Linked DNA regions of Oryctolagus cuniculus. The protein of the gene in region 1 purifies or fractionates together with the protein of each later gene. This does not show direct contact. Links are inferred from orthologs where the notes say so. Each region holds a gene or a part of one and is shown on either strand. Other genes may lie near its edges. The genes, in order: GLI2 and SUFU.

Region 1 (4,234 bases):
CCATCTAGGTCTCCCATGTAGGTGCAGGGGCCCAGGGACTTGGGCCATCTTCCACTGTTTTCCCAGGTGCATTAGCAGAGGGCTGGATGGGAAGTGGATCAGTCGGGCTGGAAAGGAGGCAGAGGCTTTACCCCATAAGCCACAGAGTGCCGACTTCCTTTGCCTTTCACAGAACAAGGAGTTGCTGTGGGACGCCTAAGACTCCTGGAGGGTGGCAGCTCGCTGCTCTGATCTCGGGCAGAACTCAGTCTTCCTACCTGAAGAAGGGGGCGAGGGCGCACACACTTTGGGAGCCGCGAAGGTGACGTCACACCAAGGGGCAGCCATCGCTGGGGTCAGGAAAGAAATACACAAAATTCCCCAGCCACTCTTGTGGGAGGCTCCAGTGCCCAGGGGGTGGGGGGAACAGCGGCTGGAGAGCAGGATCCCGCCCGCTGCCCTACCGCTGAGGGGTTGTGCTGGGGACCAAGGACCCAGGGTCCTTCTCTCACAGGCCCCACACACCTCGGCCCCAAGATTCACTGTTTTGTTTTTTCCCCCTTCCTTCTCCCTCTGTTGCTGCTGGGTCCTGATGACTTCCATCTGGCCGCAGGGGCGCGAGTGGAGCCTCTAAAAAAACCAAACCAAACTAAACCCAACCCCTCCCTGAGGAACACATGCACCGGGCCCCCGCGGCTGGGGACGCCGGCAGGACCCCCGGCACCTGCAGGAAGAGTTCCGCGTGGAAGCGGCCCCCGCCCTGCCTCCCTCGGGTCGCAAGCTTCCGCCCCGGAGTCCGTGCACGCGGGGCACGGCGACCTGGGCAGCTGCCGACTGAGGGAAGCGGGCGCGGGTAGCGCGGAGATGGAAAACAGAGCGATTCCCGCGCCTCGGCTCGGCGTTCATCTGACTCGAGTTAGCGTCGTGCCCCACCCCCCAGCCCGGCGCCGGGGAAAAACTTTCCCCGTGGCTGCACCGCGGCCCTCAGCGCTGGGGGGTGTGGGGGGGAACCCCGCCGCCCCTCCCCTCCCTTCCTTCCCCTCCCCTCGCCCCACCCCCACCCCAACGCCCGGCCCCGGGCGCGGTGCGCTGCGCGGCGCCCGCTGTGCCCAGGCCGAGCGCGCGGGGGCGCTGCGCGGTCCGCGCGGCGCTGCTGGATTGCGCGAGTGCGGGCGCTCGCCAGCCGAGGCAGCACGGCTCCGCGGACTTTTTTTCAAACTCCCATCAATGAGACTTCGAGGAGGAGCGCGAGGCGGCGGCGATCGCCGACGCGGAGGAAGGCGACGAAGCGCGGGAGCAGCCGGAGGGAAGAGCGCGAGCCGCGCGGCGCGCCCGAGCCTTGCGGAGCTGCCCGCTTGCTGGCGGTAGGGGCTACCCGGCCCCCGCGCGTCTCGGCTCGGGCCCCTCCCGGGCGCGGCCCAGCCCGGCGCTGCCCGTCTGAGCCGCGGCGCACGGCAGCCCGCGGCGCGCCCTTGCGCCGGCCGAGTTGGGATGGGGACCCGCAGCCGCCGCCCGGCGCCTGAGAGGCCACCTGCGTGCTAGAGGCAAACTTTTGTCTCCCTCGGTAAAGTTGCGTCGGCCTTCTGTGTGGCTCGCTTGTCTTTGCGGAGCGCCGCCTACCCCGGCCGACTGGGATGCTGCGCCGTCTCGAAGGCTCCCTTGGTCGGGGGCCGGCGCCGTGGCGCGGGGACCGGGTACTGGGCTTAGAGGGACTTGCAGACCAGCGGGGGGCGGCCCCGCTTCCTCCCCTGGGGTGGAAGGGGTTTTGGGTGATGGGACTCGTGGCCGAAAGGCGACTTTCCCTACCCGGGGGCAAGCTTCTGTCTTCTCGGTGTGCGCCCGGGCCGGGGGCTGTTGGTGCGGGTGCGAATGAGCGCGGGGCTGGATGTCCACAGCTCGCGTTAGGTGGGCGGCGGGAGCGTGTCGGTGGCAGCGCTGTGCCCAGGGCCCGCGGCGGCCACTTGTACGAACTTCCAACTGCACTTCTCCGCGGCGCGCGTCCCGCAGCCCGGCCTCTCTTTCTTCCTCGCTCCTTCCTCCCCCTCGCTGGGCCCTGTCGCCCCCTCCCCCTCGGCCGGCCTCTCCTCCTTCTCCTCCTCCTCTCCTGCCCTCGGCCCCGAGATCCGCTTGACTTCCCCAAGAGATCCTCACGTAATCCTTGGCCCGACCCGCAGGTCCCCCCCACCCCTCACTTCCATCCCCGCCCCCACCCCCCCATCCCGGGACAGTCTCTCAACAAGTATATTTGCTGAGGAATTTGAAAAATCCACTACTGCAACTTGATCTGTGTGTGATGGATGGGGAGAGGCGCGGGGAGAGTTGGGCGCCAATCCTATTAAGGGTTTAGAGAGGGGAGCGTTTTTCCCCGACGGGGCGGGGGCGGAGGCCGGTGGGGGGAAGGGCGCTCGCGCTCGCGTGCGGGAGTCGGCGGGAGCCACGCCGCAGAGCTCAAGTCCGGCCCGGCCGTTGTGGGTGTCCTTCCCCGGGAAACGCGGCTTTTAGGGCGCGGGGAGCTGCGGGTGGACCCGCGCCTCACCCCGGGTGACCAGAGCGCGCGGGCCTGGGGTCCGCCTTCCGCCTGGATGCCTCTTTTGTGTAGTTACTGCGCGGCTCCCGGAGTGAACCGCAGCGCTTCCCCGCGCGCCTCCCCTGGCTCCCCATCCCGGGCGTCCCGTGCGGAGAGCGAGGCCCGTGTAGTGGGCTTCGGCGCTCAGCGGCCACCGCAGCGTCCTGGGCCTGGGGCCCCGGCGCCCTTGCCGGGCGTGTGAAGGTTTTAATCCCAACAGCTTCAGATCAAGGCAGAGGTCGTAAAACGCTCACGTGCTGTTTGCGGACGGGGCTCTGGGGGCTGGCGGAGAAGTTGAAAGTAAACGTTTCCCTCGCGAGTGGCATAAAATAGTGTTTAAGCAAATATTGTATTGGCATGCTCCGGTTGGGGGGGGGGGGCGGTGCCAGAAAGTAAAGGCAATAAACTGTGAAATCCAAAATATACAGCAGGGGATCGCGGCGCAACAGGCGGGCTTCTGAGCAGCTGGCCTGATGCGAGCTGTTTGCTTTGGCCGCCTTGCCTCCCGGCCGCTCCGTGCCCAGCTCCTTACCTTGCTACTGCTCTCCTGTGCTCCTCCCTGGGGCTGGGAGCTGCCCGTCTTGTGGGTATATGGGGTCGGGAGAGCGAGCACCCTGGCCATGCCTGGCTGCTTTTAAGTTTTGAGGCCTTCTAGACTTTTCCCAGCTTCTGGTCTGTCTTGAAGGTGATCATTTGGAAATGTCCAACCCGAGACCCTGAAGATGCCCCGGCCTGGGGTCTCCCTCCAGCCTTCCTACCCCTTCTTAGGTCTCTGTCTTCATCTTGCCTGCTCTTCTTTTCCTAGGAGTGCGCATCTGTCCTGAGCCGGACAGGAAATTGGGTGGGGGGATGACTCTGGTTTTCAGATCCCACTCAGACTCAACAGTCCAGAAAGTTATCACTCCTCTGGTGGGTCTGGAAGTTAATTATATTTTGTAAGATTGAGGGTGGTTTTGTATTTCCCCTCTGCTTCCAGAAACATGCCAGTTTCAGGAGGCTATTTTGCCATTCATGGGGGAGGGGGTAGGTGGGATTTAAATGAATGCCTGGGAGATCCAGCCCACCTGCCCAGGATGAAGAAGAAGCCTTGTGTTGGTCTTGAGTCTGTGTGAGGGTCGGAGCAGTCCCTTGCAAAGTCAGTTGGCGAGAATGAGAGGGAAAACCAGAGCAAGGCAGGGCTTACCGAGGAACAACGTGGGTTTGTTAAGAGATGTTTTTTTAGCCTTCGTGGGAATTGCCAGGGATTGGCATAGGGTTCCCACTGTTTCGGGAGACTTCCAAGGGGCTCCCAAGCTCACAAGGCTTCACCCTGGTGTGCGTGTGGGGCGATCTGTGGTCTTGGGGCTGGTGGCCTTGGGATGGAGTGCCACTTTCTCAGGGATGTGGCCAGTGTGGGCAGAGCACACAGCAGAGAGGAAATCCTCTGAGTTGCTTGGTCACAAGAGGGGGCCCCAGGGCTGCTGGTCAGCGGCTCCTGACCGGGCTGCGGGGGTCTTGGGGGCTGTGTACTGTAGCGGGCTTGTTTGCATTGCAGACTGAAAAATACACAAATACTTCACGCTTTTTGTACTCCCACAAGTGCCCTGTACACAGTGCAGCCCCCGGGGCTGGATTAGCAAGCCAGAGGATTCAGCAGGCAGGCAGACAAAATTGGATCTTTGCCTAATAAACACCCTTCTTCCATGCGTT
Region 2 (3,798 bases), on another chromosome or scaffold:
GGCCGGATTCTGTCCCAGTTGCTCCTCTTCCAGCCCAGCTCTCTGCTCTGCAGCACACTGCTGTGGCCCGGGAAGGCAGTGGAGGATGGCCCAAGTGCTTGAGCCTTACACCCACATCGGAGACCAGGAGGAGGTGCCTGGCTCCCAGTTGGGTTCTTGGGGGTCCCCTAAGGTTTGGCCCTGCTGCCCTTTCCTCTAGGGCCGGGGTCATGGAATGCTGAGGTCATATCCCTTCCTTGGTCTGTCCCAGGCAACTGGGCCTCCCATGAGCTAGCTAGGGTGAGAAAGGAGTCCCTTGGTGGGATTATTTCTTGTAAGGTGTTTTGTGGTCTTTGGGGCAAAGTGTACTAATCTTTTCCCCTGCATCCAGATTTTGATCTAAGACTTACTCTGCAAACTGTAAACACATACAACACAGCAAACTGACATCAGGTGCTCAAAGGGCCATGCTCAGAGTGGGGAGGGGATGGTTACAAGCTTCTTTTTGGCTACAGTGGCATGGGTTACCTTTATAATTTTTAAAACCTAGTCAAGAACAATTAAATTCTGAGATAATATTATAGATCCCTCCTTAAGTTTCCTCTTTTGTCAAAAGCAACAGAATGATTCTGGTAACTGGGTGCTCTCTTTCTGAATCTCCCACAGATGTGGTACACAGGAAGGAAAGAAAGGGATTAAACATGGTCAAATATTTGCACTAGGGGTTTAAGTTGTCCTTTTCAGAAAGAGAAAACCTTTCACAAGTGTTAGCACATAGGCAGGTGCTATTCAAGGCTGAAGGGATCTTTTTCTTCAAAAAAATCAGAAAAAAAAAAAAAAAAACAGAGAAAGGAAGTAGACCAAGAAGCCAGACACACACGTACACAAAATAGCTGCTTTGCCTTTGGAGTTGGCTTGGGATATTGGGATACCCTCTGCTAAAAGCCACAACTGTTTCTGCAGTTGAGACCAGCACAGGGAGCTTCCAACAGGACACTCATCTTCCTTCCCAAAATCTCATGCAAACTCAAGAGGTACAGGGTGCCCCACCCACAGCCCCTTACTCTGTAACTACAGGACAGTGCGACGGGGGGTCATTTGCAAGTGGGCCTCACATGATTGATCGCCAGGGCTGGCATGGTCTTCAGGCCAGAACTGGGCCCTGTGTCAATTCTGTGGGTGGCCGTGCTTGTTCTCTTGTACTTGGGTGGACTATGGGCTTTTCCTGTAACTGTTCTAATGCTTCCACTCACATCCGTGACCCTAGATCGCAAGACCTGAAGGTAAAACACAATGGTCCCTGCTGGTGGTGTATTTGCAACACACGCAGGAAAGAGCTATAAATGGGCCAATAAAGCTCCCTTAATTCCACCCTGCTGGAAGACTTTACTTGCTGCTTAACTCAGGCCAGTAAAGAAACTATTGAACAGGCTGTTTTCGTTAAAGACTCATCCTGGAGAGGGAAAAGGGGAGGAGCGGGGCCGGGCCATGGCCCCACCTTTGCCAGAGAGCCTCCGGGGCTGTGTGCCGATGCAGATGCTCCGGCTGTCCTCATCATCCTCGGGGGGCCGGCTCAGGTCATCCCAGGCACACTTGGCGCTGACACCACTCAGGTTAGAGCCGTCTGTCTCGATGCCTTTGTCAACTCGCTCCTGCTTGAAAAGATCCAAAGAGCCAGAGTTCCTTCAGAGAACTGGGGCCCCACAGTCACCACTGCCCTCCCCACTCCCATGCTTAGAGCACGTGTCAAGCCCTCATAGGTGCCAAGGAGGACGCAACAGATGCAGCGCAAGGCTTCTGCTGCTGCGCTGCCTGGTTCCCGCATGCGACTGTCTCTGCCGGCCCCTGCACTGCTGCAGGGGAACCAGGAGGAATGGAAAAGCCAAGGGGAGCTGCTTTTCCACCATCAGCCTTCCAGGACCATGGTTTTCCCTCCTCTTTCAGAGCCCAGACCCTACCCACTCCATGCTGGCCTGTGAAGCTGATGTGGCAAAGACAGGACCCACTTCCTTGAAGAAGGTTCTCTTCCTCCTCTCCTCCCTGATCCTTCAAGAACTCTTTCCTGCTACAGCAGTCAGAGGGGAAGCCAGCTACAGGTGAGGGAGGCCATGTCTGCAGTTCCTCTTCCAACAGCTAGAGGGTGCAGCTGTACAGAGATGTGCCCAATAGCAGAAGCCCTGGTGTCTCCTGGCTGCCACCCCTAACTTGTTTTGCAAAAGACACTAGATAGAGTTCCTTTTCCATCTCTTAGATCGAACAAGGGCCTGGAGGACAGTGACCAACTATAGACAGTGTCCCTACTCCACCCCCAACCCCCTGCCAGGAGGCTCTGCCTCTGTGCAGGTCTTGGCACTGTTGAGTCCAAACACTCTCCAAATGGCCTCGAGGAAGAGCCGTACTCAAAACATCCTTGGATTTTCTGGCAAAATACAGTGCTGAGATGCTGGGTTTTAGATTAAAGGTCATCTAGAAGGCTCCAGCAACCCTGCCCATCCACAGCCATCTGGGCCAAATAAAGCTCCTGTGACTGAGCATGCCAGCAAGGCTGTGTGCTCCCACTCCCCTCATCAGCACCCCTTGCCCTGCTATGGCATCATGGGCACCAAACTGGCCAGTCAGGGAGCTATCTGGGGGAAACTGCTCTCATTTGTTGGGACTTATCACAAGTGTCCCTGCCTAGGACACCTCCTTCCCATCAAGCACTCCCTCCTCTTTCCCAGTGTCACCATCAGCCTGGACAACGCTGGGGCTCTGGTAGGGAGAGGTTAGCAGCAGGGAATGGCTCTGGGTCCTCCAGGTAGCAGCAGGTGAGCCCTTCTTGCTGAGGGGAGAGCCTGGGCTTCTCCCTCTCCACTGGCTGCCCTGAAGCCCTTTACCCAGCTAAGAGCTAAGACTAGATACCTCCTGGCTAAACTGGTCCAGTGTACCTACTTCATAAATGAAAAGAAAGAGTTAAGAGCCAGAGAAATAAGGAGACTGGGTCAGGCACACAGCTTGTTAGTGGCAGAGCTTGGATTGAAGGACAGGAGCAGTTCTAAACTGGACTGACAGCAAAAGCAGGCCTGAGGGCAGCATAAGGGAACGCAGCGGAGTTCACACCTGGTCCACAGAGACTAGGAAAGCAAGCTGCATCCTTCTCCCATGGCTCCCTACTTGCTTTGACAGACACTTGGGTGCTCTGGGTCCTGCGGGCTGGTCTCGAGAGCCTGCAGACCACAGAGAACTATTCTTAGCATGCAGACAAAGGACAAGTTGCTTGCCTTACTATTTCAAAGGACCAGGCTGCAGACAAAGGGCTCAGCCTTCATGGTTCCTGGTTCTTGCATAAGCAGAAGCTACAAGGAAACCAAACTTAAAGCAGAGATAACAGAGGATGTTGGCAACAACTTGAAAGTTTCAGTGTTAAAGGCACTAGGAAGACAGAGGAGCATCATCTGTGAATGAAGATTCATGCCCAAGCCCTCATAGGCGTGCAGTAGAGAACCCGGGGACTGCAGGCAGCGTGTCCATCTGCCACCTCTGCCCTGCTCCAGAAGGCAGCTGCCTGTGGCCTGCCAGAGCTTTAGAGAAGGAAAGGTTCAGAGACAGCACTGCCCTGCAACTGGTGGAGGGGGAGCAGGAGCCACGCCCATGGCAGGCACCTGGTAGGATGCCTGCTGCTCCTGCTCCCTGAGCAGGCCATAGCAAAAGCAGGCATGCTCCTGGGTCTTTCAAAATCCATCCACATGCTGATGAGTGCTTCTTCTAGGACACTAAAGACGGTGAGGCTGTCCAGGTGGGCCACTGTGAGGGGCAGCTGCAGGCCTGCGTGTCTGAAGA

Evidence for each region.
Region 2: the proteins of GLI2 (region 1) and SUFU purify together in Homo sapiens (affinity purification with mass spectrometry; 3 studies listed by BioGRID and IntAct, with this or other methods). This does not show direct contact. The link is inferred for Oryctolagus cuniculus from reciprocal best matches to the Homo sapiens genes GLI2 and SUFU.

What each region holds. Positions count from the first base shown.
Region 1 is NC_091434.1:121,129,999-121,134,232, reverse strand, and holds the start of GLI2 (zinc finger protein GLI2), read left to right. Parts: upstream 1-1,204; 5' UTR 1,205-1,343; intron 1,344-1,404; exon of another isoform or gene 1,405-1,543; intron 1,544-4,234. UniProt on the Homo sapiens protein: Functions as a transcription regulator in the hedgehog (Hh) pathway. Functions as a transcriptional activator. May also function as transcriptional repressor. Requires STK36 for full transcriptional activator activity.
Region 2 is NC_091446.1:27,383,343-27,387,140, forward strand, and holds part of SUFU (suppressor of fused homolog), read right to left. Parts: intron 1,635-3,798; coding exon 1,478-1,634; intron 1-1,477. UniProt on the Homo sapiens protein: Negative regulator in the hedgehog/smoothened signaling pathway. Down-regulates GLI1-mediated transactivation of target genes. Down-regulates GLI2-mediated transactivation of target genes. Part of a corepressor complex that acts on DNA-bound GLI1.